Rhinolophus ferrumequinum: one gene and its partners. Each later gene encodes a partner of the first gene's protein in a complex. Links are inferred from orthologs where the notes say so. Each region holds a gene or a part of one and is shown in the gene's direction. Other genes may lie near its edges. The genes, in order: TAF7, TAF3, TAF10 and TAF5.

Region 1 (7,097 bases):
TGGAATTACATATATACTATCCTATTCCCCCAAATAATTAGTTCTTTCATGGATACTATTGGTTGCCTTTATAGACTGAATATTTATTTGTGTCTCCCCAGAATTCATATGTTGAAACCTAATTCCCAAAGTGCTGGTATTTGGAAGTAAAGTTTTTGGGGAGTTGATTAGGTCATGAGGGTTGAGTCCTCATGAATAGCATTAATGCCCTTGTAAAAGAGGCTGCTGGGAGCTCCCTCACCCCTTCCACTATGTAAGGTTACAGTGAAAAGACTGTTGTCTATGAACATGGAAGCCTGCCCTTACCAGACAACAAATCTGCTAGTGCCTTTATCTTGGACATCTCAGACTACAGAATTGAGAAATAAATTCTGTTGTTTACAAGCCACCCAGTTTATGGTATTCTGTAACAGCAGCCCAAATGGACTATGACAGTTACCCATGCCCTTTCCTTTCTTCTAACACTTCCTTTTTAGTTTAGGGGCCCACCCTCTGGGTACCTAAGGCAGAGCTGAATCTATTCATAGCTGTAACATGTTCTCAGAGATCTAAACCAATAATGGTAATCTCCTTCCACTTGTCAATGTTTAGTTGGGAATATAGGCTTAAAATAATAAGCTTAAGGCAGGGTTTCTCAACCTTGATACTACTTTGAGCAGATAACTCTTTGTGTGGGTGGGGAGAATAGGTGTTCTGTGTAATTGTAGGATATTTAGCAACATCCCTTGCCTCCATCCACTACATGCCAGAAGACCCCACCCCCACAGTTCTAACAATAAAAAATGTCACCAGACATTACCAATATCACCCCTTTGCCACAATTTTGAAAATAAAAATGGTAACTATTATGGATCCAGGGATAGGTATGTGACCTAAGTTAGTCCAATCAGATCAAAAGACAGATTTTGGTTTGGGGGAACCACTCTCTGAACTTACCATGGACAAGGATGGAAGTTCCCCAGCTATGCTGGCAGGTTTCTTGTCACCACAGATTTTGGAAGTTTACAAGGAGATGAGGACAAAACTGAAAAATAATAGAAAAAGTATAAATAAATGCTCATTCTCTAAAATTAGGAAGAAAAAAACAATTTGTGCCAGGCCATGATTCTATCATACCTAGAAGCAGCCATACTTCTAGAACTGCACTGTCCAATACAGTAACCACCAGCCACATGCAGCCACTGAGCACTTGAAATGTGGCTAGTCCAAACTGAGATGTGCTGTGTGTGCAAAATACACACCAGATTTGAAGATTAGTACAAAATAAGAATGTAAAATATATCATTAATAATTTCTACCTTGATATGTTGAAATGTTATTTTTGATGATTAAGTTAAATAAAATGGTATTGAAATTAATTTCACTTGCATCTTTTTGCCATTTTAATGTGGCTACTAATATACCATATATGGCTTTCATCTGAGGTTCATATTATATTTCTATTGGACAGAGCTACACTAGACTACCTGGTTTTTGAGATACTAGATTTTTCTTCTTATTTAAACCAATGTAAATTATGATGGTGTCTTTTCTATGGAAAGTATCATACTTGATGCTATATTTTAACTATATTAACTAGATTTTAGTTAACCTGCTTTTAACTGTTTATACACCAATATAGCAGTATGTAAGAGTACTTTTGGGGGGCATATGCTATTTCTTCTCCCTTATAATTTTCTATCTCCAAAATATAAGCAGGGCTTTTCCCACCACCAATAATTTTACAGCATTATCCTGGTTTTGATACTCCTTTATCATAGGCAGGAAGCGTTTGGAGGTCATTACCATGTGGGGAATTTATTGCTCTCCCCAAATCTTTAGTTCACTAGTATCACAGATATTCCAAGGAACAACCACAGAAGTGTAATTCTGTCATCAATTCAGAGTGTTTATGTATGTCTATTGATTTTAAAAAGAGAACAACTGGATTATCAACAGACATTAAGGTAATTGTAATGTGACAGAGACCTTAGCTTTAGGATCACTGTAATTTTCCCTCATACAAATCCCGCATTTAGAAAATGTGTTAAACTCCAAAGCAGAAAATATATTTCAGGATAAGGAGGTACATACTTTAGGGGAAACTTTAATCCTTTTAATTATCTCTGACCATCTTCCATTTAAAGGTTTACTAAATAAAATACATCATATTTTGGCAAATCAGAATTGCATCTGTTATCTCAGGTTACTTTCTGTGACAGGATATTTGAGCATCATAAAACTATAGGCAATTAAAGTGCAAAGCAACATTTGGATTATTTTCATGTATAAGCATAGAATCACATTTTATATAGTCAAATAAAGCACTATGCAGAAGCTAGCATGTTAAACTCTTCTATCTATAAAATAAGTAAAATCAGGTATAATTAAGGGACCATCAGTATAATTAAGCACAATAAAGAATTTCACCTTTGAAAAGGGGGAAATAGATCATCCTGGAAATTATAGATGATATATCAGCCAACTTTCTTCAACACATTTTGGAACAAAGAGAACTAATGTAGTTATCTGAAAAAGCATAATTTCAACTTCAAACTTAACATTAAAAAAACTGGTGCCAGGCCATTTTAATTTTAATTTCCTCCCAAGATACACAGTCTAATTAAACCAAAGAGGACACACTATTAGCAAAGCTCTCTGCTCATAACAATTGGCACCGTCCTTGACGAGAGGAAATGTATATGAAGTGGCTTTATCTCATTTTAAGGTGACATAGAATGTATTTTATCTCACAGATTATTATAGACTATATTTATGCTCCTTTTAGATGGATCAATTGGTTCATTCAATTAGCAAATATTTTTTTGTATATCCCCCATGTTTTGATACTAGGCACCGGGACATGATGAACAAGATAGAAGACTCCTGATGATCAGAGAGCTTCCAGTCTGAGGGAGTGAGGGAGACAATACATAAAGAAATGAAGTGAACTTTTAGAAATGTTAATCACATTTTAATAAGAGTTCTCTTAAATTTAGATGCAGTTGGTAATAGAGGATAGAAATTAAAATTTTAATGACCTTGATGCTCTACCAGGACGATTCCATTAAAAAATAAATGGAAATGAGCAGGAATCAGTGGAAGCTGTTATATATATTAACACCGGTAGTTAGGCTTAAATACTATAGATACGTGCTGATAAATATCTGCCTACATAAATAGAGGAGACAAGCACAAAACAGTTATCAAAATAGCAGAGTGGAATGAAAACAATTCCTAACTAATTTAAAATTTACAAGCGAGTGGCAGGGAGTAATACTTCAATTATATTCTACCGCAATCAGACCATTTGTCTATTAGACGACTCTGTCCTAAATGAACATATGCCTCTTGAAGAACACTTACTTCTCTGTTTACATTTATATCTACGTCAAACATACTATTAAAACGAGGAATCACCCTTATTCCCTTGGGGTCCTTCACAACAGAAACTGACCCTGAGGCATGAGTCCACTCCAAGCATTTTCATAACCAACAAAATATAGACTTAGAATTATATAGTGGGCAGCATGTCCTCCTCACTCCACTGATTTGGATACTTTCAAATCCACTGCATGGTTAGTTATAAATTCTTGTATTCACTCGAAATTGGATATACCCTGGGGAGCATCGGAGGTGTTTCCTGAAGCAAAGACTCTTTCCGCACAGACGCCCTATACCCGACGATCACCGGGAAGCCTAGGAGCTATCCGGCCCCAGGGCGATCCGGTAAAAGTTCTGGCTTAGCGGCGGGGCGGGGAGGTGGGTGCGGGAAAATCTAGGTCTTTCTTGGAACCGGTGTCTCTAAATATTTTCAAAGCAATAGCTCTTTAAGGAAAATTATTCCCATCGCCTAAAACCAAGTTCTCGCGAGCAGACGGACACCTGATATCGCAATTGCGCGTTGCGCCTGCGCGTGCTGGGGCAGACCGCATTTCCGCTCGAGTCGTGCTGTCACTCACAGCCGTCTCCCGCCCCGCGCCGTGACGTACTACTTCCTTCTCCGCTAGGTCTGCTTCCCCTGACGGTCCCGGGAGCTGAGGAGCTGTAGGCGGAGCTGCCGAGTTGCGGAGCTGCCGAGTTGCTGAGTTGCGGAGTCTGGCGCTCAGAGCTACGGATCTCGGTGAGATTTCGCGCTGCCCGTTCTGGGTCATTTCATTGATAATCAGCAGCGGATCGCTTGCCAAGAGCCGGGAGAAACAAAGGAGTCAGGAAGGAGACTTTAGGCCCCCGGCCGCCATTCTCCCAGTGGCTTTCTCTTTCGCTCGCTCCTGTCCGGAGAACCTCGGTTTATAATTGTTACTGGACTGTAAGTATCCGAGGCGAAGAGAGCTCACTGCACCCCGCTTTTTGACTATCTTTGTTCGGGGAGAGTTTGTGAATTGGGAGTGTCTTCTGGGCCTTTACTTTCTGTGCCGAAAATCATTCCGCAGAAGCCGCCATTTGCTTTTCTGCTTGCTTGCTCTGTATTGTCCGGCAGCGCCATCTAGTGGTTGGAACTTGGCATTGCAGCTAATTTATTCAAAAGGACTTAACTGAATAATCCAGTGCCAGTAACAACTGGTATTCAGTCACAGCATATTTAAAAAGACTTGGTGCTTAATTAAAAAAAAACCAGTAGACTCTAAGCTGCTGTTCTTCTTAGAACTCTTTGTAATTGAATTTTTCAATTCATAACAAACTGGTCTTTCTAACTTGATATAGTTGGAACGTTTTAGTGCGACAAGTGTTCATTTGAGAAGTGAGTCACAAAGAAACATGAGTAAGAGCAAAGATGATGCTCCTCACGAATTAGAGAGCCAGTTTATCTTACGTCTGCCTCCGGAATATGCATCTACTGTGAGGCGGGCAGTACAGTCTGGCCATGTCAACCTGAAGGACAGACTGACAATTGAGTTACACCCTGATGGGCGTCATGGAATCGTCAGAGTGGACCGGGTCCCACTGGCCTCAAAATTGGTAGATCTGCCATGTGTTATGGAAAGTTTGAAAACCATTGATAAAAAAACCTTTTACAAGACAGCTGATATTTGTCAGATGCTTGTATCCACAGTTGATGGTGATCTCTATCCTCCAGTGGAGGAACCAGTTGCTGCTGCTGATCCCAAAGCAAGCAAAAAAAAAGATAAGGACAAAGAGAAAAAGTTTATATGGAACCATGGAATCACTCTACCTCTAAAAAATGTCAGGAAGAGAAGGTTCCGGAAGACAGCAAAGAAGAAGTATATTGAATCTCCAGATGTGGAAAAAGAAGTGAAGCGGTTGCTTAGTACAGATGCCGAAGCTGTCAGTACTCGTTGGGAAATAATTGCTGAGGATGAAACAAAAGAAACAGAAAATCAAGGCCTTGATATCTCTTCGCCAGGAATGTCAGGCCATAGGCAGGGCCATGACTCATTAGAACATGATGAGCTTCGGGAGATATTCAATGACCTCAGCAGCAGCAGTGAAGATGAAGATGAGACGCAGCATCAAGATGAAGAAGATATAAACATAATTGACACTGAGGAAGATCTGGAAAGACAGCTACGGGACAAGCTAAGTGCTTCAGATGAACAGCACCAAGAAAATGAGGGAACCAATCAGCTGGTTATGGGAATTCAGAAACAGATTGATAACATGAAAGGCAAGCTCCAAGAGACCCAGGACAGGGCAAAACGACAGGAAGATCTCATAATGAAAGTGGAAAACCTGGCTCTCAAGAACAGATTTCAGGCTGTGCTGGATGAACTCAAACAAAAGGAAGACCGAGAAAAGGAGCAGCTTAGCTCTCTGCAAGAAGAGCTAGAATCACTCCTAGAGAAGTGAAAAGAGCTTTGATACTTAAATTCATTCCTTAAAGTGGTCAGCATTAGAAGAAAAATTTTGGTTTCATTACTTGGACTAGATGATAGAACTATATGGTAATTTCTGTTTTTTTCTGCTGCCTTTTATTGAATTTGTCTTAAACGACTAGAAATGTGAATTTCTATCTCATTTGTCTCTCAGAACCACTTTGTTAGGTGTTTATCATGTAGGAAGTAGGAATGTATAGAAAGATACATAATTGTAGGAAAGTTGTAGGATTAGTGGAATGAACAGTTCAAACTTTGTAATCAAAACTTCACTGCAGGACTTTGCTGCTGTTTCTCCATTTGCCAGCAACTGGTTTTGCTAGTTTGTGATGCCATCTAAGATCACTAAGAAGAGTAGTCTAAAGGCAGTTAAGTTAGTTCGCATAATGTTTTCCCATGCAGTAGTTATTTTCCTAGTTATTCAATTTTATACATGTAGAGTTGTAAATCATTTCATAAAATTGTTTTAACACAATAAATAGAAACTAGTTTTCACCTCATAATGAGTCTTGCTGTTTTAGGGATTGTGGGCATCAGATCCTCTTGTGAGGTGGTTTCTTGGTACAGTTTAATTACTGAACAATTTGACCTGTTTGGTAGGGAAAAAAGCAGTTATGTTGGGTTTTAAGAAAAAGATGAATACAGCAAGAGCAAACAAATTGTGAAATAGCTGCATTATGTTAAGTTTCTAATCCACCTGCTGTGTTTGGAGGGTTAATAAACACTAGGTACAGAACCTTCCTAAACAACCCTAACTTTTGTACATGAAGGTCTTATTTAATGTTTTGTGTTTTTTTTTTAAAGCACTGTACTCACCTGCTTGAAATAACTAGAAACAAAACAGAGCAAAGCTTTCAGGTACTTTTCAAAGAATCATTCCATTGGTTTGGATTAAGATTATATTTTTAAATATTTTCAACTTAATTACTGTAATTATTTAGTACTCTGAGAACTGAGATGATTTGTCCGTGTCAGTTCATCAAAATTGTTTATAAAGGTCAGTATTATAATTTCTTATTTCAATATTTCTTAAACATAATTTTCATATTTACATACTCTAAAGATTCTAATATAATGCCTTACTTGAGCTATTTTGGAAGAATCAGTGATAAAATTTACAAAATGCAGAGTTTGGTGCAATTCATTTCTGAGATTGGTTTATAAAGAAAATCTTTGGTTTGAAAATTAACCTCATGGAGCAAACATTTAAAGCCCATTTTAATTAGGTATTTGACAAGAAACATGAGTGGTGAAATGTTAAATTTTCCAGACCTCTCAAGTGTA
Region 2 (7,750 bases), on another chromosome or scaffold:
TTCTGTTGGTCATTGGTTCTTGAGGACATGTTTAGATACCACTTCTCCAGGCAGGTCGGCCTTCTCAGTCCCCTCAGCTCCTTCCAAACGGCTGGCTGAGTGTCCCTCTTGAGTGCTCACCAATTACAACCCTTATCACATTTTGTCATTATTTGCTTGTCTTTGCACAAGACTGTAAGATCCTAGCAGAAATGTTTTAATTATTGTATCTTCCAAGTTGACGAGTGCCAACACCTAAAAGAGCATAAATAGTTTCTGTATTGAACTGACGATCACTTTTACATAGGTCAGGCAACATTTAATCAGAGCATTCACCCATGTCACATAAGACATACTTTGCAAATACTGACTCAATATTCACCGCAACCCTATAACCTAAGTACTGTTTTAATCTCCACTGATGACCAGACAAAGATTATGGAACTTGCCCGAGGTCACGGCTGATAAGACTGACCTGGGATTCTAACCCAGTTCTCTCCAGTCTATACTCAACCCCTGGTCTCTGCATATAAAACTACCTTCTCTATATGTGGTTGTTGAAGCAATTTGTGTCTCGAGACTTGACTTGGTGATGCGTCTATAAGGAACTAGTAGAAGTACAAAAATTCTAATACTACCATTTCCCCACGCTGAGTACTCCTTTCCTTCATATGATCAGACGGTATTGAAGAAAGTAGGAAAATTGGTAGCGCAATCTTATCCAACAGCAGTTGCACAAAGTTCCCTAAGTTTAAATTGCAAAACATGACAAAAGGGTTTATGACACTGCACAGAACTCATTTCAGTGAAAAATAAGTCAATTTTAAAAATGGGGAATAAATGAGTGGTCAACTTGTCTTTTCACCCATCAGATTGTTAAAGACAGTTTTAGAGAGTAGGGGGAATTGATCTCATGCTGTTAGTACAAGTTTACAATCCTCGAGAGTGATTTGGCAGTGCTATTAAACTTAAAATGTACATAGTTTATCATCAATTCCACTTCTAATAGTCTAAAGAAGTACTCATACAAGTGTGCAAAGACTTGTCCAAGAATGCTCATTCAAGATCATCGTGACATTTCAGAGCAATGGAGGTAAAGACCTAAATGCTGTCAGAGAAAAACGTCACAAGGTTCAGAAATCAAAATGGCTTCAAGCCAAAAAGAGAGGACCCCGGAAATGGATCCGCCAACACCCTGACCTCGACCTTCCAGCCTCCAGAGCTGAGAAAATATAAACCCGTTGTTTTAGCCCCCCAGTCTGTCATGTTGCTATGGCAGCCTGAGCCAACTACACTCCAAGAAAACTGACCAGCTACTTGGCACGTTGACCACCGTGGCCCTGGGCATCCTAGAAACGGCATCCATTTGTTTTGATAAGAATAGGCACATATTCTAGGTACAGATTTGCCTTTTCTACTCAGTATACGTACTGGGTGTTCCACATCAAGCTGTGTCAGACCTAGGGAACCATTTGACAACAAAGGTTGGGAGTGGGCACATGGTTGTGAAATCTGGTCATGTCACCTACCATACCACTCAAGCGGGCAGCCTGGCAGAGCAATGGAATGGCCTTTGAGCAATGGAATGGCACTAGCTCACGGACAATGCCTAGTGAGGATGGGGTGTGGTCCCCAGGATGCCACATACACTTTAAGTCAATGACCTGTCTGTGGTGCTGGGTAGATGACACACGGTGAAAGCTGGAGTTCCATCACTTACCATCACTCCCAGGGACCCGCCTGGGAAACTTCGTCTTGTCTCTGCAACGCTGGCTTCCCCAGGTTGATAGTTTTTATTTCCCAAAGGAGGAATTTTTCCACCAGGGGACACAAGGAGTCCCACTGAAATATCAGCTACAGTTGCCACCTGAACACTTAGGCCAGGAGCTAGCATGCAGAGTAATCGACCCTGATCTTCGGGAAGTCAGGCTGCTGTCACACAATGGGGACAAGGAGGAATGTTTGGTACCCAAGTGATCTAGTTGGGCGCCTCGTGGTACTCTCTCGCCTAATGTCGGTGGTCCCTCGACCTTGAGCTGTTCCTCAAACTCGTACCAAGAAGTGGATCTGAGGGTACAAGGAGTGGACCCTAGTTGAGTGGTTTAAATGTCTGTGTCCTGTCCCCCCCCAAATTCACATGTTGGAACCCTTACTGCAATGTGATGGAGTTAGAAGGTGGTGCCTTTGGGGGTAATGATTAGGTCATGACGGTGGAACCCTCTTGAATGGCACTAATGCTCTTATAAAAGAGATCCCACAGAGCTCCCTAAGGAGGATGCAGCAGAGAGCCCTCACCTGCCCATGCTGGCACCCTGAGCTCGCGTCTCCAGAACTGGGAGAAAAACGTTTGGTTGGTGAGTGACCCAGTCTGTGGTCTTTTGTTCCGGCAGCCTGATCAGACTAGGACTGGACTGAACATTGTAATGCAGTGCTCAGATCCCCTCAGGACTGAAGGACTCCCGCCTCCCCTGGAGTTGCCTCTGCTGCAGAGAGCACTTTTGCCTAAGGTCACATACCGTTTTCAGGGAAGGCCTCACACAAGGACCTAACCAACTCAGGAATATAAAGGTCCAGCCCCCTTGTGCCATCTCAGGACAAATCTGAAGGGTCAGCCCATCTTCAGAGCTCCCTATGGGATTGGCTGACGCCTCCTTCAAAGCGCATTGCAAGCCCCTTCCTTTGCACAGGTGATGATCCCAGGAGCCCTCCTTAATAAACCACCTGTGGGTTGATCTCCAGCTCAGAAATGGCTTCCTGGGGAACTGAACCTGTGAGATATAATTATGTAGAGAAATGTCCTTGTTTGGGGGAGATACATGCTGAAGTATTTCTGGGTTACATGTCATGAAGTTTGCAATTATTTTCAAACTATTCTGGAAAAAAAAGGTAGGGGTGTGTGTGTGTGTGTGTGTGTGTGTGTGTGTGTGTGTGTGTGTAGTAAATATGGCAAAATGTTAATAATTGGTGAATGTAGGTGAAGTGTATACCTGTTTATATTTTTCTGTTTCAGCTTTTCTGTGGGTTTGAAATTTTCCAAAATATGATATTAAGGGGTTAAAACACACACATCATAAATCAAGACGCTCTGATATAGAGATGTAAAAGAAACTTCCAGAAGTACTGAAGAAACAGCAAGACAGTGGGGGTGTATGAGACCCAAGGTAGAAGAGTTTCAAAATTAAGGTAGTGTTCAATATTATCAAATGGCTACAAAATGGTCAAGTAAGGCTAGGAAGGAAGTGGCCCACAGATTTAGCATCCAAAAGGTCCCTAATAATCTTAGGGTCAGAAGGGTTAGTGAAGAAAATGTTATAGGTACCCTGCCACCTAGCACCTTGCTCCTTTCTCTACAGATGGTCATTTAGCTGAAGTACCATATTTTTCTACTGGGTTTTTAAAACTTTATTTTTTTTAAGAAGGGCATAGCTAACAGTGGCCCATAAAGGGATCGAACCAGCAACCTTGGTGCAACCAGCACCATACTCTAACGAACAGAGCTAACCGGCCACCTCGGGTTTTTAAGACTTTTAAAAAATTGAATATCATGTATGTTCAAGGTTCTGGAGTAGTCATAGGGAGGTTATAATGCTCACAATTTATTTGGAGAGGCACAGAAACTCAAATACTAAATGCACTGTGATAGTATAAGACTAGAGAAACTGACAGACGGATACAGAGGAGAGTGATGAAGTTAGAAAGCTACACTCCAGAAGCTTGTAGGAAAGACACACGCACACAGAGGCATATTTAAGAAACAGAGTAAATGAGCCATTGCAACCTGGCTGAATCTGCCTTACCCATGGGATTAGTTTGCAAATTAAAACTAAAAATGTATTCCCAATATTTAAAAATCGAGGTATTTATCACAAAATCCCGATTTCTAGCAAATTGGAAAGACCTGGCAACACTAGGCTGGAACTGCAAAAAGGCTCTAGAGAAGGCAAGTGTCCCTTATAGCCTTAGCCAGCTTCGCTGATTTAAGGTATTTGTTTGGCCTCTGTAAGCAACTGAGTCCTTTTTCCCTTTGACACAGTGGCTGGCGGAGGCCAAATCGGCAAACTGCAGCCTGTTTTTGTAAATAAAGGTTTGCTGTAACCAGGGCATTATAATGAGGTGAGTGAGGCAGGAATTTTTTTTTTTTAGCAGCCGTTCGTACTTTTCAAATATATATAGTGTATTAAAATATTGTTGATCTTGATTAAGTTTTCTGATGCCCCATAAATTCGGCACCGAGTCCAGGGCCTCACTCGCCTCACCCTAGTCCCCGTCCTGTCTGAAGGGCTCTGAATAGCACGCTGAACAGCTTGAACTTGATCTGATCTATACAATGGTAGGCAGCTCAATTTTCTTTTCCTTTTTTTTTTTTTTTGAGTAGAGATAAGACCGGATCAGATCCGCGTTTGGGGTAGCACTTAGGTTCCCAGGCCCCAAATCCCGCTCCCGCACTCACAGTCTTTAGGGTTCCCAACTTCTAACACCTGCATTTTAATTTCATGTCCCGGTTCCCTCTTCTGCCCCTATATCACTGACGGTCCTCTCTCCCTTCCTCTCCAAGTAACCGCACCCCCACCCCCACCCCGGAAGGTCCCAAGCACCTGCCTCTTCGGCTGCCTCCTCCACCTGCACTCTGCGCAGCCTTTTCCTGCGTCCTTCCAGGCGCGAGAGTTGATACCGACACCATCGCTCTGCCTCAACGGGGCGGAGCTTCCTCATCGGCGCGCTCAGTATTCGGCTACTGCTGCCTCGCCCCGGCGACCGTCCAGCGGGAGGCGGAGCGAGTCCAAAATGGCGGCTCTCAGGCTGGCGCGCTCCGTGCTGCTGAGCCTTTGAGGTGGTCGCCAGGGGTCGGGGGGAGACGATTTCCCCGCCACGGGGGCCCTAGAGGATGAATCGGGGGCTCTGCTAAGGTTAGGCGGTGGGGGTGGAGAGAAGTGGCAGCAAGTGCTGCGGTGGAGTCCACGGAGCGGGATGTGCGAGAGTTACTCCAGGTCGTTGTTGAGGGTCTCGGTGGCGCAGATCTGCCAGGCGCTGGGCTGGGACTCGGTGCAACTCAGCGCCTGCCATCTCCTGACGGACGTGCTGCAGCGCTATCTGCAGCAACTGGGACGGGGCTGCCATCGGTACTCTGAGCTCTGTGAGTACCGGGCTGGGTGCGGGAGGGCTGCCTCTGGACAGTCACGAGTGACACCTCCGGTCTCCCCTTCGCTATCCCAGCGTCTGCGAGGTGTTTGTCTTCCACCCCTACCCCGAGATCGGGTATCTTCTCGGCCCCTGATGCCCATCCGCTTCCACTGCCCCTGGAAACTCTAGTCATCCCTTTGGTGCCTCTTCCTTGTCCGCTAACTTCCCGCCTCCAGCCGGGAGCCCTGTCTCCGCTCCCAGCTCCATACCCTCTCACCCTTCTCTGATCTGAAATGTGCATCGGTCTTTCTCATGGTCTCATTTTGTGAACCACCTCCAGAGTGCCTTACAGCCTCTTTTACTTTGGTCCTTTTCCTTCCTTTCCCGCAAACTACTACAACTAGTTGTCACAGGCGCTCCGTCTACCGGCCGTTTCTTACAAAGCTGGCCATTCTTCAGCTCATAACAACACTTACTCGTTGACAGCTCTGCTCCGTTACGGACACTACCTCTTCATTCTGCATCTGTTCATTTCATAGACAGTTCTCTACTTAACTCTTTGCTAAGGCCAACTTTGTCAGTTTCACTTAGATTAACTTTCACTTACATCTCAGCCACCCATTGATTTCCTCCTTTATATTTTTATGTCAGTGATTATCAAAGTGTGGTAGAGGGATTATAGGCAATTTACAAGTTTCCCCAGGTAATCTGGGATATAGTACTTACGGTTTTTAAGTGAACACCTGGTAGTGTCTATAGGTGATGGCATTTAATAATTTGGAATATTTAATAGAAGCCACACATCATGTCATTGATGTGATGCATATGTGTGGAAGGGAAACTACCCTTTATTTAAATTTCAGGTCGTTATTTTTAAGGTGGTAAAGTGGAGAAATGGGTGAAGTGTTTCATTGGATATTTTGTTTTGTTCAAGTGATTCCTAAACTTAAAAATTGAGACCTATGGATACACTTTACTTCTTAGGCCCCAATTTCCATTGTAGTTTCCACAGTGCTGCCGAAATAATCTGTCCATACCACAAATCTGATCGTGTGGTTCTTAAAAATACTTTAGTTGAATGCAGGCAGAAAATCTAAACTCTGAAACAGCACAGTTCCTTTTGTGAGCTAGCATTTTTCTTATCTTCTACCATCCTGCCATCCTAATCTGCAACCATGCTGAGCTGCCTATCTTTTCCCAAGCATTTTAAGCTGTCCATTCCTATGTACATGGTGTTTCTTACTGTCCTTCACCCCCTGGTCCACCAATAGTACTTCTTATATTTTGAGATTCACTTTATCACTTGTTTCAGGAAACTCATGTTATCTGCTCTTGTAAGTCTGTGCATAGTATGTTATTTAACACCTTGGTTTGTAGTCATCTGTGTATATCTGTCACGCTCTCCTATTTCTTCCCCAGGAGACAAATTTATTATATTTATATTCTGTAAGCTAGTATGGTGCCGTAATATATTAGGCACCCAGGAAATATTTGTTGACTAAATGAATGAACTAATAACCCACTACCATGATAACTATTTACTCACTTCACTTTTTGAGTTTTAAAAGTATGTATTTTTTGAATGCTTGATTTCACTGATACTTCTAAGCTAAATTTGAACTGCCCAGGAACTCTCATTCTTGGTTATCCTGAAAGTACACCAACAGCACACGATAGGACTCGCTTGGCTTTTGCTTCTACCCCCACCCTCTGCTGTCCCCACTGTCCTCCTTCATGATCTTTTGAGGTTACTGTTACGGTTATGCATCATCCGGATTATATTTTTGCTACCAAGTTCCCTAAGGATGGATGTTCTGTACGTTTAGGTGATCAGAATAGCCCTGAATAAATAGTTACCTTTCCTGCGTTGTACGCAGAGCCAGGATGTACACTCCAAGTGTGCCCAAGTCATCAAGTGGTCACTGTTGTGAGTTAATGCGAACCCCTTTCCTAATGACCCAATTTCTGTAGTTGATTTTGTTCCTCTTAGTGAGAATGTAATTCTCAGGTCCATTATTCTCCATCGTGATTTGGTGACTTTTTAAAAATATGCTAATTCCTGGTATACTTATTAGTTACAGACTTTTTAGATTCTTTTTTCTTTACTATCCTTGTTTTAACTTCGAATCCTATAACTTCAAATTGCTACTATGCAATCTTGTATTCTATTCCTTTAAATCCTGTTTCTGATAACTAGGTCTTGAATATATAATATATTTGATTCTGAGTTACATATTTGCTTACTGGTTTCTGTCTTTTTAGTAGATATTTTTTGGGTACCACTTAGGAACTAAACACTGTGCTAGGTGTTGGAAACATAAAATTACTTAGGCACAATCCCTGCCCAGAAGGTTTGTATATGGGTGTCACAATGTCAACAAAACCAAACTGATGGTATCTGTCCCTTTTTCAAAAGCTCCCAAGTTAAAGCAAGCATCAGAAGTTACTATTCATTCAACAAATAATGCAATTTTAAATTTGCCTAAGGTAACAATTTGTCAAAGCATTCGGGGGCAGATGTTTCTGTATATGTTGTAATATGTATAAAATATGAGTACGTGAGCTGGAAGCAGGTGTAAATCTTTCAGAATGACACCTCAAGACTGGTACTATAACTTAATTATTGCGTGGTCTAGGCAGTAAATGCAAA
Region 3 (6,182 bases), on another chromosome or scaffold:
GGCATTCTGGTGGAAGATTTGGTGGGTGTTCTGTAGGGAAAATGTGCAGTCACCTCAGGCCACCCTTGAGGGCTCAAAACCTTTTACTCATCCCCATGTGCATGCTTCCCCACAGATTCCAGACCCTCCCGCAAGACCCAAGCCAGACTCACCCATCTCTACATGTCGCATCCAGCACAACACGGGCAGTGAGGGTGTGAGAAGGGGCGGCTTTGGGTTAAGTTTTTAAGAAAGAAACAAACAGAGACTTAATGCAGTTTAAATCTCAGAAGGCCAGGGGTCTCACAGTTCTGAAAGACTGGAGCCCAGATATGAGCCGACTGGAGGTTTTTATTGATAAGTATACAAGGGAGTAGCAGTGTTTTTGGCACAGTCTGTGAGACTCACTTATCACGTTATAGAAACAACCCAAACCAATTATGTTGATCTTCAAACAGCCGAAGCAGAAAGTCCTTGAGGTGAGGTATGCAACTCCTTTAAGGGACATATATCACATGGTGAAATTGTTTCACAGAGCTGAGCAGAGAGAGCTTAATCTTATCACTCTCAAGACTTTTCTCCCAATTAGGTGAGAGGGAAAAGTCAGAGTCAGCAGCGGCTTTTCCCAGGCAGGGGGGAGTGGGGCAAGTCCCCTTCCCAGATCTTTCTAAAGCAGCTCATTGGGGTCTCCATGGGGTTCCGCCTAGCTTGAGTTGTCCCCCCCGCCCCGTGGGGAATCTTACTCGTCATTGGCTGCAAACCCTCTTTTGGAGACTAGATAGAGAGACATGAGCTATAAAACATTGAGATAAATAACGTCCCAAAAAGGCACAGTCTCACAGACTTTTCTTTCCATAAGGAAAGACATGGGGGGACAGTCTGCTAGGCTGCTGTGTGACAACATCTACACATTTTGGAAGTCCCCTTGGGGCCCCTATAATCTGAGTGCTGTTTTCTGCCCTCAGCCCCTATGTCACCACAGTGGGAGGCACATCCTTCCAGAATCCTTTTCGAGTCACAAGTGAGATTGTTGACTATATCAGTGGTGGTGGCTTCAGCAATGTGTTCCCACGCCCTTCATACCAGGTACGTGTAGTGTAGGTTTGTGTGGATAGATGGAGGTGAGGAAGGGTGGGAATCCTCAGTTCAGGAGACAGTACTCACTCAACAATGCCTTTCAGGAGGAAGCTGTAACCCAGTTCCTGAGATCCAGCCCCCACATGCCACCATCCAGTTACTTCAATGCCAGTGGCCGTGCCTACCCAGATGTAGCTGCACTCTCTGATGGCTACTGGGTGGTCAGCAACCGTGTGCCCATTCCATGGGTGTCTGGCACCTCGGTGAGAATCAGCCTGGCTCCCAACCTTTAGGAACTACCTTCAGCCTCTACCCCTAAGTCCTTGCACCCAGAAGCCCTAACTCCTCAGGGACCTCTGATCCTTTCAAATATCCTTCCCCAAAAGTGCAGTCATTCTGAACCCCTAACTTCTACTTGCACCTTGCAGGCCTCTACTCCAGTGTTTGGAGGGCTTCTGTCCCTGATAAATGAACACAGAATCCTCAGTGGCCGCCCCCCTCTTGGCTTTCTCAACCCAAGGCTCTACCAGCAGCATGGGGCAGGACTTTTTGATGTGAGTGTGGAAGGGATGGGTGTGGACATTTTCATAAGAGCATAGGATGGGACTATTGGGTGCGGGGGTGTAGTCTGTTAGTACTGGTACCAGCAGGCCCAGATCTGATGCTCACCCTCTCCCTAGGTCATCCGTGGCTGCCATGAGTCCTGTCTGAATGAAGAGGTGCAGGGTCAGGGTTTCTGTTCTGGCCCTGGCTGGGATCCTGTGACAGGCTGGGGAACACCCAACTTCCCAGCTCTGCTGAAGACATTAATCAACCCCTGACCCTTTCCTGTCGGGAGAGTGGGCCTGTCTCCTGCCCCACAGCTTGTGGCTTGTTTCCTTATTCTGCACTATTGGAAATCCTGCTGAACCCTCACCTGTTGACTGCTGAGAGCTTATCCCCCTAACCTTGAAGTGCTATGAGCATGACTTGACTCCCAACCCTAACCCTGTTCCATCATACTCAGGTCTCCCTACTCCCGCCTCAGGTTTCTCAATAGATGCTATCACCAGTGCTGTTTGAATGCATCCCTCAACACTGCCCACCCCCGCACCATGTCTTCTTTCTCTGCAACCAGGCTTTTCCAAAGTGTTGTCTACACTGTCTGTGCACTCATGAATTTTACTTCATGTTCACTCCTCAATTCATTGCACTGAGACTTCTGCTCTCACTTTTGTACTTTCCTCCCCTGACATTGAAAAACAATGGCCTCCCTGCTGCTTCCTCCAGTGCACACTTCCCAATCTTTGCTTTATGGCCTTCTTTCATAGTTGCCCACTCCCTCTCCTTCCGTAGCTTCCAGGGTTTAACTTCTTTTCTGACCACCCCCTTCGTCCTCTTTTTCTGCTTCCTCATTGAATATTGGTGTACTTCATTTCTCCATCCTCAGTCTTTTGCTCTTCTCACTCTACCTATTGCCCCTGGAACAAATCCGTCATGATTGGCATCCACAGCCATCATCATCTCACTACGTCAGACTTTCTGTCCAACAGTGATTGATACTTCAAAAGGAAGATATGTGATACTTGACACTTATCTCTCTCCCAATCTCAATCTGTTCTCTTCTTTTTGGTAAATGATACTATGCTTCTTCCAACCAAACCAGAGACCTGGGTGTCATTCTAGACTCCTATTTCCTTCATCGCCCACCACCACCACCACCTTCAATTAACAAGTCCTACTGACTTGCCTCTTAAACACATCTTTATGCACAGGTCTGCCGGTTATATTTCTTATGTACATGTAGAACTCATTTACTTATCTTTATCTCCACTACTACATTAGCTTAGAGCCGTATTCTTTCTCCTCTGAATTTTAAGGCCCTTGCAAAAAAATTACCTTATTTCCTGCCCTTCCCTAAACCATCTTCCAGAATAAAATGAAAATCTCATCAGGTCATTTATTTAAGATCCTTCAAAGATTACCCGGTAAAGTTCAGGCTTTTTGTCATGACTCACAAACCTTATTTCTTCCTTGCTATTTGTTCCTGAGTAACAAATTGTTTATCCTCCCCTGCTTTCCTCCCATATACATTCTTTCACTTGTGCTCAAGATATTCTGTGCCCTTAACACTACCCCTAACTCCTCTTTGCTTGGTTGATTTCCAGGATTCTTTCCAGACTCAGCTCAGAATCCATTATATTCCCTTGTGAACCTTTTGGCTCCCTACTGGTTGCTTTTGGTATAGCACAAAAATCCTAGATTTTTGAAACCAAACGTTTGATTCTTGTTTCTGATACAGACTAGGGGAGAGCCTTAGGGGCCAGTAAGTTGATCTCCCTGAGCCTTTTCCTCACTTGTTAAGTGGGGATATCGATACCTGCCTCTCATAATTATCAGTGAATAATTAAATGGAATAATGGTGATAAGAGTGCCTGACACACAGAAGTAGGCAGCAGGTGTTAGTTCCCTTTGTCCCTTGCACTGCACACTTTGTCTACCTCTAGTATTGTAACTCCTACATAGTATTGAAATTGCCAGTTGACCTGTTTGCCTCCCTTTCCAAGACAGTTGGTGCCTAGAGGACTAGAGTCTTGTTTTACTTAAACTTTGCATTCGCAGGCCCTAGCTCAGGTTTGGCAAATAGGAATTAAATAAATGTTTGCTACATTGAAAACCTCACTCTTTCCCTCGCTGTGATTTTTGCATATGTGTTTTTACTCAGGCTGAAACACCTCCCTCCGCATCTACAGCAGCACTGGGCGCGCTCCTGCAGACTGCACTTCTCCGGGCAGCTGGCGGGGAGCGGGGCGCTTTCCACCTCCACTACGAACCTTTAAAAGGCTGAATAAGGGAACTGGAAAGCATGCAGGCTGGCAGATGGTCCAACCCTGTCGGACCAATGAGCCAAAAGAGAGGTCTTTAGGTGGCAGGCTGAAAGAGGGTCCCTGATCCGCAGAAGAGTCCTCGACATTCCAGGATTCCCAGCCCTGCAGAACCACCGACGAGTACGGAGCGGTGGGAGGTGGAACGTCCGCGGCCAGCGCGGTTCTCCAAGGTTTGGTCTCCGCCCCTCGGTCTGTGTCATCTAGCGGGCATACAGGCAACCAGGAGGAGAGAAGCCTAGGGGAGAGAGCGGTCATGGCGTGGGAGGGGCAAGCGCGAGGAGTGACGTCACTCGGGTGTGTGCGTAACGTGAGCGGAAGCGGAAGCGGTTCTGTTCGCCGCCTCTCCCACCGGCTAGATGAGCTGCAGCGGCTCCGGCGCGGACCCCGAGGCGGCGCCAGCCTCCGCCGCCTCGGCCCCGGGCCCTGCACCCGCGGTCTCGGCCCCCGCCGTGCTGCCCGCCGGCACCGCTGCGGAGAATAAGGCCAGCCCCGCGGGGACAGCAGGAGGGCCTGGGGCTGGAGCCGCGGCAGGGGGCACGGGACCCGTGGCAGCGCGGGCCGGGGAGCCGGCCGACCGGCGCGGGGCGGGTGAGGGCCGGGACGGGTGAGGGTGAGGGCAACGTGTTTCTCGGGGCTCCTCGGCGGGGGAGGGCAGAGGGTATAAGGCAGACCTAGCTGAGGCCCTGCGCCTTCCACCTCCGTGTCTCAGTTTGCTGGTTCTCCTCCAGCTGCGGTGTCGGCAGGCGGCGCGGCGCCCCCGGAGGGGGCCATGTCTAACGGGGTTTATGTGTTGCCGAGTGCGGCCAACGGAGACGTGAAGCCGGTGGTGTCCAGCACGCCTCTGGTGGACTTCCTGATGCAGCTGGAGGATTACACGCCTACGGTGGGCTTCCTGCCAGAACAAGGCTATTGGCCCGCTGTCACGCCAATTTTCCTCCACACCACCTGGATTTCCAGTGTCGTCTTCTTGTGTTTCCCTCCCATACTTGCTCTTGTGACTTATCCCCTCTGCCCACCCAAACTGTAAGCTTCCTGCGAGTGTCAGGCCTGTCCTCCATTTCCCTCACCTTTTCACTCTCAGCCTGGCAGTGCATAGGGCTTACACTAATAGCTGTCTAATTGATCTCTCAGATTCCAGATGCAGTGACTGGTTACTACCTGAACCGCGCTGGCTTTGAGGCCTCGGACCCTCGCATGTGAGTAAATTCTGGGCAAGTTCGAGAGTTGGGTGCTTGTGTGGATTTGCTGTCCATTTCCTTAGGTTTTTTTTTTCTCTCTCTCTAGAATTCGGCTCATCTCCCTAGCTGCCCAAAAATTCATCTCAGATATTGCCAATGATGCACTACAGCACTGCAAAATGAAGGGCACAGCCTCGGGCAGCTCCCGAAGCAAGAGCAAGGTGTGAGGGGAGGCTCATTGAATCAGTAATTACCTCCCAGCAGCGGAGGCTTAATTTATCCTGAAACCCCTTTCGGGAAACAGCCCTAGGGGAGGTGAAAGACCTATTCAGGGTCACCCACCTGGGATTGAAATCTGGGATTCCTGTGTTTAGCTGGTGCTCTTCCCTCTTCCCTCAGGACCGCAAGTACACTCTAACCATGGAGGACTTGACCCCTGCCCTCAGCGAGTATGGCATCAATGTGAAGAAACCACACTACTTCACCTGAGCCATCCAATCTAAATGTACTTGTCTGTCCTCTTGTCCCCACACCAGCCTGTTTTCATAATAAACTTTATTGTGACAGGCAGGGCTGATCCCTCCCATGCTGGGAGACACCATGTGGCAAGTGACAAAGCTGAGCCCAGCCCCTTTTGGGGCCACAGCGGTAGGGATGGGCACAGGGGACGGGCCCCATGGCTGGGGTAGTACCATGACTGGAGGCAGGGGAGGCAACCAGAGGCCCACAGCTTTGGGGAAACATAGTCCCCTAACAGTGTCCCCACACCTCTGGAGTTTAGGCAAGGACTTTCCAGTCCTACTTGTCCTGCATCTTCTCCAGGATGGGCACAATCATGTCAAACTTGGGCCGCTTAGCAGGGTCTTCATTCATGCAGATCTTCATGAGCTTACACACATGGGGGGAAATGCCTGGTGGGATGGTTGGCCGAAGGCCTTCCAGTGCCACCTGTAAATGTAGGGAAAAACAAGGTGGGTCTCAGCACTCCAATCTCATGTAGAGAGATCTCTAGCTCTCAGGACAGGATTACTATATATTTGAACAAATGTGGGAAAATTCCAGCCCCACTACAGTTATTGTC
Region 4 (7,994 bases), on another chromosome or scaffold:
ACTTCTTTTTCTCAGAGACATGGGTTAGCAATTCTGAAGCTACTTTCTGTACATTCTAAGATTGAGCAAATAAGTAAATACATTATAAAAGCCAGATTTATCACTATTGGAAAAGAGTGTTAGAACTATGGAAAAGAGACAGGAAAGGATAAACTCTGCTTTGTTGGATTGGAATTGGAGATATCCAAGGTGACCTCAGGTAAATGTATATAGGTAAATGTATATACATGTGTGTAAGTAAACATACATAAATACGTGTATTTCTCAGCTTTGTCCACTGAGAGGGCCTAGAAGAAATGACACACCTAGCACCCTGTCCTTGGCTTCTAATGCACTAAAAGAAACCCAGTTTCCATGGAGGAATGGCTGATTCCAGGTTTGCAGCAGGAAAAAAATAAGAGGGACTATAACCTCTTATTGTGCTAGAAAGTAAGGAAGTACTCAGAGAATAAAGTGTCATGTCAAAAGAACACAGCAGCCAGTTTGAAGGAGCTCCTACTAGTTAAATCTGGGACAAATTGTACATCAAAATAAAAATTAGGACAGTAACAGATGGTAATTTATTGAATATATTCAGTCCATGCTGATATAACTAAATAAATGGAGAGAAGGGAAAGCTCCTCCTTAAATTAGAAAGCCAACTCATAAATGTAGAAGGAATAATGGAATTAGAAAATCACTATTTGTTAACCATCATATGAATAATTGATACAGGCCAAGAATCATCAATGGATGTTAAAACTGGTGAGCTAAAGTTTGAGAGGTAATAGGATATTTACATAGTTTCAAACTATCTGGCATTCACCACTTTAAGCAAATTATCAAAGTTTACATTGATAGCAATGGGAGTAATCCACAGCCACATGCTTCCTGATACGACGCACTGAGAACTCAGCATCACTTCTGTACTATTCCTGCCAAAGATGAGACAGATTGAACCTGAATCAATCCATGAGGAAACATGAGACAAATTCAAATTGAAGAACATTCTCTATAAATTAACTGGCCTGTACTCTTCAAAAATATATGTTATAAAATACAAAAAAAAGAGGGGTGGGGAAACATTAAAAAAATACAAAAAAGGGAGGATTCAAATTAGACTATTGAGATACGACAACTGCATGCAATGAATAATCTTGGATTTTTCTTTGCTATAAAGGATATTGTTGAGACAGAAAAATCTGAGTAAGGTCTGTAGACAATTATTGAGACAAGAGTATTGTATCAATGTTTATTTATTGATTTAGGTAATTGTCCTTTGGTTATGTAAGAAAATGTCATTTTGAGAAAATGCATACTGAAGTATTTAGTGGTAAAGGGACATCATGCCTGTAAATAACTACTCTTAGTAATGCAGAAAAAACACGTGCATATACATTTTTTTCTGAACTACTAAGAGTAAGTTGAGTTGAACTAAGTCTGAACTCTATATCTGTATCTACATAGAGATCTCTATATCAGTGTATCTATCTATTTATCTATCTATCTATCTACAGAGAGGCAGAGACGGAGAGCCAGAGAAGGATAAAGCATATGTAGTAAATGTATCGTTTGGGGAATGTGGATGATGGGTATCTGGGAATTCTTTGTACTTTCTTGCAACTTTCTTGTAAATCTGAAATTGTCGATTAAAAATTTTTTTTAAATAAATTAAACCTGGAAAGAATAATAAAAATGAAGTAGAGGAGGAAGTAGTGGCAATAGAAGAGTCGAGGAGTGGCCAGAGGTAGAAGGAAAACAAGGAAAAGTTTGGGTCCCAAGATTCAGGAGAAAAGGTAATTTCAAGAACATGTGAGCAAAGTGGTCCCTGGATTAGCCTTTAAATATGGATGTTCCTCAGAATTCTATTCTAGAACTTCTTCATTTCTTGCTCTATGCAATATCTTGGGTAATCTTATTCACTCACATGACTTCAATTACCATCTATATGCTGATTTCCAAATCAATGTCTCTGGCCCCGATTTTTCTCCTTAAAATGCTTAGAAGCATTTTAACCCATAAAATGCTTCTGCCTATGGCCAGCAAAACTTGCATGACCTCTAGGGACCTCAAATTCAACATGTCAAAAACCAAATTCATAGTTTTCTTCCCTAACCAGGTTATTCTCAGTCATCCTTTCAGTCACCGTCGCCAAATACCGAGAAATTATTCTCACAATAAACTCTGCCCTTGTCTCCCAAATTTAAATATGAAGTCCTGTGTCTCCAAAACCTATATATTTTATGCATTTATTCACATGTCCTCCTCCAACTATACTTCGTTAATAATAATTACTCTAGTCTCGGGATTTCCAACTGCAGGTCAATTTAAAATTAATTAAACTAAAATCAAGCTACCAGTGTGAGTTTAAATTCAGAAACTAAACAACATGGTAAACTCTCACTGGTGGCTGGTTCCTCCATCACACCCAACCCGAGAGATGACACAGAAATTAATAGATTGGTAAAAACTTTGAAAACCCTGAGGGCGGGGAGAGGGGTGGTGTGTGTGTGTGTGTGTGTGTGTGTGTGTGCGTGCGTGTGCGCGCTGGCAAACAGGTAATGATGAAGCCCAGATAGTGATACCACAGGCTTTCCCCCTTTTGGGGCATCCCTCACCTTCTCCCTCTGGGTAAATGTATCAGCCAAGGTACATGATACCTCCAGGGAAATACAAATTAATGAAGAAAAGTAATGAGATATAGAAAAAAGTGCAACTCCCATTAAAGTAAGAAAAACTGAACAACCTAAAGTAAATGTAACAGGTTAAATGCATCAGATGGAAAGTTAATTTAAACAATACATATCCTCAAAGGAAAAAAAATGAGTTCATATTGTATACATCAGGGTTTTTCACCCTTAGCATTATTGACATTTTGAGACAGAAAATTCTTTGTTGTGGTGGGGCTGGGGCTGTCTTGTGCATTGTGGGAAGTTTAGCAGCACCCCTAGCTTCTACCCTCTAGATGCCAGTAGCACAACCCTGAGTTGTGACAACCAAAAGTGTATCCAGACATTGCCAAATGTCCCCCCAGGATATGTGGGGGGACAAAATCACCCAACTGGGTTACTTGAAGCAATAAATCATGAACTAGTTTAACATACTATGAAAAATATAATGTTTGAAGTAAATAACTCAATAAATGGGTTGAGTAGTAGTATGGATGTAGGCCAAGAATCAATTACTGCGCTGAAAAATCAGGTTGAGGAACTCTTCTAGGAGGGATCTGGGAAAGGTAAACATGAAAATACTGAAGTTAACAGACCTAGAGTATATAACTATAGTATCTACATCCTAAGAATCCAAGAAGAAGGGGAAAATGGAGGGAGGAAATATTTGTAGATATAATGCTTACTAAATGCCTAGCACTGAAAAAAAAAATCTCAGATTGAAGGGGTACATAAGAGGCAAATCAGGATAGACAGAAAAAAAGTCTAATCTTGGATCCATTAGTGTGAAATGAAAGAACATCAAAGAGAAACACCCAGAAAAAGCAGCTCTCCTATGAAGTAACGAGATACAGATCGACACTGGACCTCTTAAAGCATCCCAAAAAGAAAGTAGGAGGAGAATGGGAAAGATCATAAAAGAAGGGGAAGAGAGAATCAAAAATTAATAGTGGACCTTATAGGCATTCAATAAATTTACCTCTATTGAGGTGTAACAGGAAAAACCACTGTACTTAGAGTAAATTACCTCTGCTGAAGTCCCAACCCAGATTTTTTGGAAAGAGAAAAAGCCAGTAATAGGTGGCTCCCACAGAGGGAAAGCGAGTGGCTGTACTTTTGTGAGTCCAGTATCAGGGCTTCAGTTGTACAGGTGGATCCAGTTCCCAGGACCTGATTTGAGAGACTAATGTATGCATCAGAATATTAATATACTATTCATAATGGGGTAAAACATCTTTCCAGGGAATAGTAAACAAACCTGGGCTTGTTATTCATGGTATCTCTTATCTATCTACTAAGTGCTCAGTTAATTACCAATTATCAACTACTGAATACTGAATCAGAAAAAAATAATTGAATGATCCTGAGGAAAAGGATGAATTCTTCCCAGGTCATAAGCATGTACCATCAGATTCAGGTTCTGTCAGTGCTAAGTAAATGCTAATCAGTTCTTGCTCATCTTTCCCCAACTCTCACCCATATTTCATCTTACTTTAGCTATCCAATTAGATTAGTTTTATATTTTAGTCATGAGATTACCTTGGATATCATGATTGGACTTTCATAACAAACATTTACAGAACACCTTTTAAGGTTAAGTAAGAACAACCAGTAGCTATTTATTACGTATTAGGTATCGTATGTACATTATATCATTTAATCCGCATACAACTTTTTGAGGTTAAGTACTATTATTATCCCTATTTTAGAAATTGGGCAACTGGGATAGAGTGAGTTAAGTAACTTGCTTCAGGTCATTCAGCTAGTAATCAGGATCAAAGAAAGCTAGTAAGACCTCAAAACTAATAACCTGAATAAGTGCTAGATCTTCCCCATGTCCCAGGCTCACTTTTCTTGTCTTCACCTATCCCACAGAGTTGTGAGATTCAAGTGAGATAAAATATGCAGCAGGGTTTTTATAATCTATGAAGCATACTGCAAAATGGCATATACTATTTTAAAATACACAATTAAAATGCAGAAATTTTACAATTTGTAATAATGGATAACACAGTATGAATACAGAATGTACACATTTCACAATCACAAAATTCAGATATTTAGAAACTTTTTATTGAAATATAGCATATATGCTGTTAAGTTCACAAAGCTTAAGCACGCAGCTCGATTAATTTTTACAAAAGTAAAAATTGGAACAACAAAGAAAGTTACCACCATTTAGATCAAAATACAAAACATTACCAGTATCTCAGAAGCCTCCCTTTGGCAAATGGTATATGCTTTTGAGTTAAAGACCTGGATTCAAATCTTGAAACGTTCACTTTCTTGTTGAGTGACTTGGCAAGTTATTTAACCTCTTTGGGTCTCCGTTGAGCCACCTGTAAAGTGAGGACAACAGTACCTTATAAAATTGTTGAATTAAAAGTCATATAATGTAAAACGTCTATCACAGTGCCTGAATATAGCAGTTGGTTTGCAATAAGTGGTAATTATTTTCAGGCAAATGCAATAGGCGGTCGCCATCTCCAATTTCCTGCTTTCTGTCACTCACTTTTGAAAGTTGCTCTCGCTCGTGTTCTTTTTCTCCTTCTTCTCGCCCCTCCCACTGCCGTAAATCGCCTTCCGGAGCTGTCGTGAAATGCTCATCCCCGCCCTCCATGTGGCGAAAACGCAATCGCACTTGACGGCGCGAGGTGGCTCAGCCGCAAGATGGCGGCGCTGGCGGAGGAGCAGACGGAGGTGGCGGTCAAGTTAGAGCCCGAGGGACCGCCGACGCTGCTACCTCCGCAGGCTGGGGACGGCGCTGGCGAGGGTGGCGGCAGCACGACCAACAACGGCCCCAACAGCGGCGGTGGGAACGTTGCGGCGTCGTCGTCGGCCGGCCGGGATGGTGGGACCCCCAAACCCTCGGTGGCTGTCTCCGCCGTTGCCCCGGCGGGGGCGGCCCCGGTGCCCGCCACTGCTCCGGAGGCGGGCGCTTCCCACGACCGACAGACTCTGCTGGCCGTGCTGCAGTTCCTACGGCAGAGCAACCTCCGCGAGGCCGAAGAAGCTCTGCGCCGGGAGGCCCGGCTGCTGGAGGAGGCAGTGGCGGGCACCGGAGCCCCGGGAGATGGGGACGGCGCCGGCACAGAGGCGGCTAGCGCGCTTCTTAGCCGGGTCACAGCCTCGGCTCCCGGTCCTGCCGCCCCAGACCCTCCGGGAACCGGCGCTTCGGGAGCTGCCGCCGTCTCGGGCTCAGCAACAGGTCCTGTGGCTCCGGGGAAAGGTGAGCCGCGAGGTCCCGGGAAGACAGGGCCGGGACGAAGGGGAGCAAGCCGGGAATGCCGAGGCTGGCAGGCCTGCACCTCTGCGGGCTTGTTTTGAATTTCCTGGGCCCGCCTCTAGGACCACATGCCCGCCCCTTTCTCTAGTGCGCCGGCTGCGCAGTCAAACCCTATTCCTAGAGCTGTCAGTTCCAGCGAGAGGCTGAGAGCTGTTGAGCAGAAGGATGTATGCGGAAGGTGGGCGCGGAGAGGCGCGGACCCTTAGTGTTTCGGTCCCTTTTCGCTTATTTGGGTTCTTGAGCTTTGGACAGGTCTACATTAGCACTAACAATATTTGTACAGTTCTGTACAAATATTTTAGGTTCTATATCTTAATTCTCACAATTCCACTATTTTAGAGATGAGAAAACAGACTGAGAAAGGCCAAAGGACTTGCTTTGGACCACACAGCCACGGAGTGATGGAACGTAGTGTAGCCAGTATGTCTCAGAATGTGGGCTAACTACCACGAGTGTTGACGCTTTGGGGGGAATGCAGATTCCTGGGCATCATTTCAGACTTAGTGAATCAGAGCTTTTAGAAGCTGAGCCTGGGGATCTGCATTTTTGAGTAAATGCTTCCGAGGGGTATTGATGTATGCCCAAGTTTGAGAACCATTTGTTTAGGAATAAGCATTGGACAGACCTGGGTTCAGATTGTGTCTCTGTTGCTTTTACGTGGTTGATGCTGATTAAGTTATTCTTCCAAAATTGAGTTTTTTTCCTCGATTAAATGGGTTATTGTGAGACTTAGATATAATATATGTAAAATGACTGGTATTGAAAAGTTTATGCCTAGGTGTCCATTCCTGACACCTGAGCACCCCCTGATCCCCTTTTCCTAGCAACTGTTGTCACAAAGTCTGTGCATTAAAATTTATACACAATATAAGGTCTCAAAGGTGATCCTGAGCCAATAATGAATGTTTGTTGAATTAAATTATCCAGTACAGAGCCTCTAGCTAATCTGTATTTATGAGACCTAATCTTTGCAGCATTGCCAGAAGTGAAGAATAAATACATAGCGTTGTAACCCATACATAGAAGTGTGTAAAAATGATTGAGAGGAATCTTTCCCTGAATGCTGAATTTTGTGAATGAACTAAAACATGGGTGAAGTATATATGTTAGTCATTTTGTTATAATCTGTTCAGAAACCTGACCTATATTTTAGATCATATCTGAGAAACCAGTAAGGATGGAAAGAAAATGCCATCAGAGTAATCGAAAGAATTTATATCATTTGTGCAGTAAGGAACATAACAGTACTTTAATTGCAACTTAAAAATTCCAACAATAAAACCCTGATTCGATTGATACATATAGCATTGTAATATTGCTATATTACAAATAAATACTCGTATTTTCTGACTTGAAATGGTGGTTCTGGAAATTGTTTTAAGCATATCTTTTGGAAATATAAATAAGGCACAAACTTCCCACCCTTAAAATGCTTACATTTTATAAGGAATGAGAGATGTACATAAATGAAGGTGATATAGGATAGGAGGTTACAGTAAAGTTACAAAGTACTTAGGTAGCTCAGAGAACTGGAAATGTTGTTTCAGGGCATGGCTTGATGGTGGTGGTGGGTGCCGTTTGCATTGACCCTTGAGAGGAGATGGACATAGTTGTTTGATTTGCTCATCCATGTTTTGTACAATTTGTCTTTAAAATAAGGTAGCTCCAGAAAAAAATAAATGAATCTCTTGTTATTGATTTGAAAATTTTATTTTAAGATATGGACAAGATGAAGGAGTTTTGGATGGGTCACTGAAACAAAGTGAAAATGCTATTAAAAGATTATGTGATTGTGTTGGGGAAGAAAGTTTGAGAGGAGAGGGACAAACATTTGAGAAACAATTCACCTGTGGACCTTAGCAAAACAGCCGTAGTCACTTGGTGCATCTCAGGTCATTTTCTTGAAAGTTGTTTTTCATTTTTTAAACAGTTGGGAGTGTAGCTGTGGAAGACCAGCCAGATGTCAGTGCTGTGCTGTCAGCTTACAACCAACAAGGAGACCCCACAATGTATGAAGAATACTATAGTGGACTGAAACACTTCATTGAATGTTCCTTGGA

What was found.
Region 2: TAF7 (region 1) and TAF3 share a complex: the UniProt entries of both Homo sapiens proteins name them as parts of the TFIID basal transcription factor complex. The link is inferred for Rhinolophus ferrumequinum from reciprocal best matches to the Homo sapiens genes TAF7 and TAF3.
Region 3: TAF7 (region 1) and TAF10 share a complex: the UniProt entries of both Homo sapiens proteins name them as parts of the TFIID basal transcription factor complex. The link is inferred for Rhinolophus ferrumequinum from reciprocal best matches to the Homo sapiens genes TAF7 and TAF10.
Region 4: TAF7 (region 1) and TAF5 share a complex: the UniProt entries of both Homo sapiens proteins name them as parts of the TFIID basal transcription factor complex. The link is inferred for Rhinolophus ferrumequinum from reciprocal best matches to the Homo sapiens genes TAF7 and TAF5.

The regions. Positions count from the first base shown.
Region 1 is NC_046307.1:15,636,521-15,643,617, reverse strand, and holds TAF7 (transcription initiation factor TFIID subunit 7), read left to right. Parts: upstream 1-4,095; 5' UTR 4,096-4,737; coding exon 4,738-5,787; 3' UTR 5,788-6,667; downstream 6,668-7,097. UniProt on the Homo sapiens protein: The TFIID basal transcription factor complex plays a major role in the initiation of RNA polymerase II (Pol II)-dependent transcription.
Region 2 is NW_022680355.1:13,386,722-13,394,471, forward strand, and holds the start of TAF3 (transcription initiation factor TFIID subunit 3), read left to right. Parts: upstream 1-4,744; 5' UTR 4,745-4,947; coding exon 4,948-5,113; intron 5,114-7,750. UniProt on the Homo sapiens protein: The TFIID basal transcription factor complex plays a major role in the initiation of RNA polymerase II (Pol II)-dependent transcription.
Region 3 is NC_046294.1:45,221,449-45,227,630, forward strand, and holds TAF10 (transcription initiation factor TFIID subunit 10), read left to right. Parts: upstream 1-4,256; 5' UTR 4,257-4,279; coding exon 4,280-4,511; intron 4,512-4,651; coding exon 4,652-4,806; intron 4,807-5,054; coding exon 5,055-5,119; intron 5,120-5,207; coding exon 5,208-5,322; intron 5,323-5,500; coding exon 5,501-5,590; 3' UTR 5,591-5,667; downstream 5,668-6,182. Other genes in the region: TPP1 (tripeptidyl-peptidase 1), read left to right, coding at 945-1,065, 1,161-1,319, 1,485-1,610, 1,737-1,877; ILK (integrin-linked protein kinase), read right to left, coding at 5,900-6,049. UniProt on the Homo sapiens protein: The TFIID basal transcription factor complex plays a major role in the initiation of RNA polymerase II (Pol II)-dependent transcription.
Region 4 is NC_046299.1:21,905,907-21,913,900, reverse strand, and holds the start of TAF5 (transcription initiation factor TFIID subunit 5), read left to right. Parts: upstream 1-4,980; 5' UTR 4,981-5,318; coding exon 5,319-5,877; intron 5,878-7,864; coding exon 7,865-7,994. UniProt on the Homo sapiens protein: The TFIID basal transcription factor complex plays a major role in the initiation of RNA polymerase II (Pol II)-dependent transcription.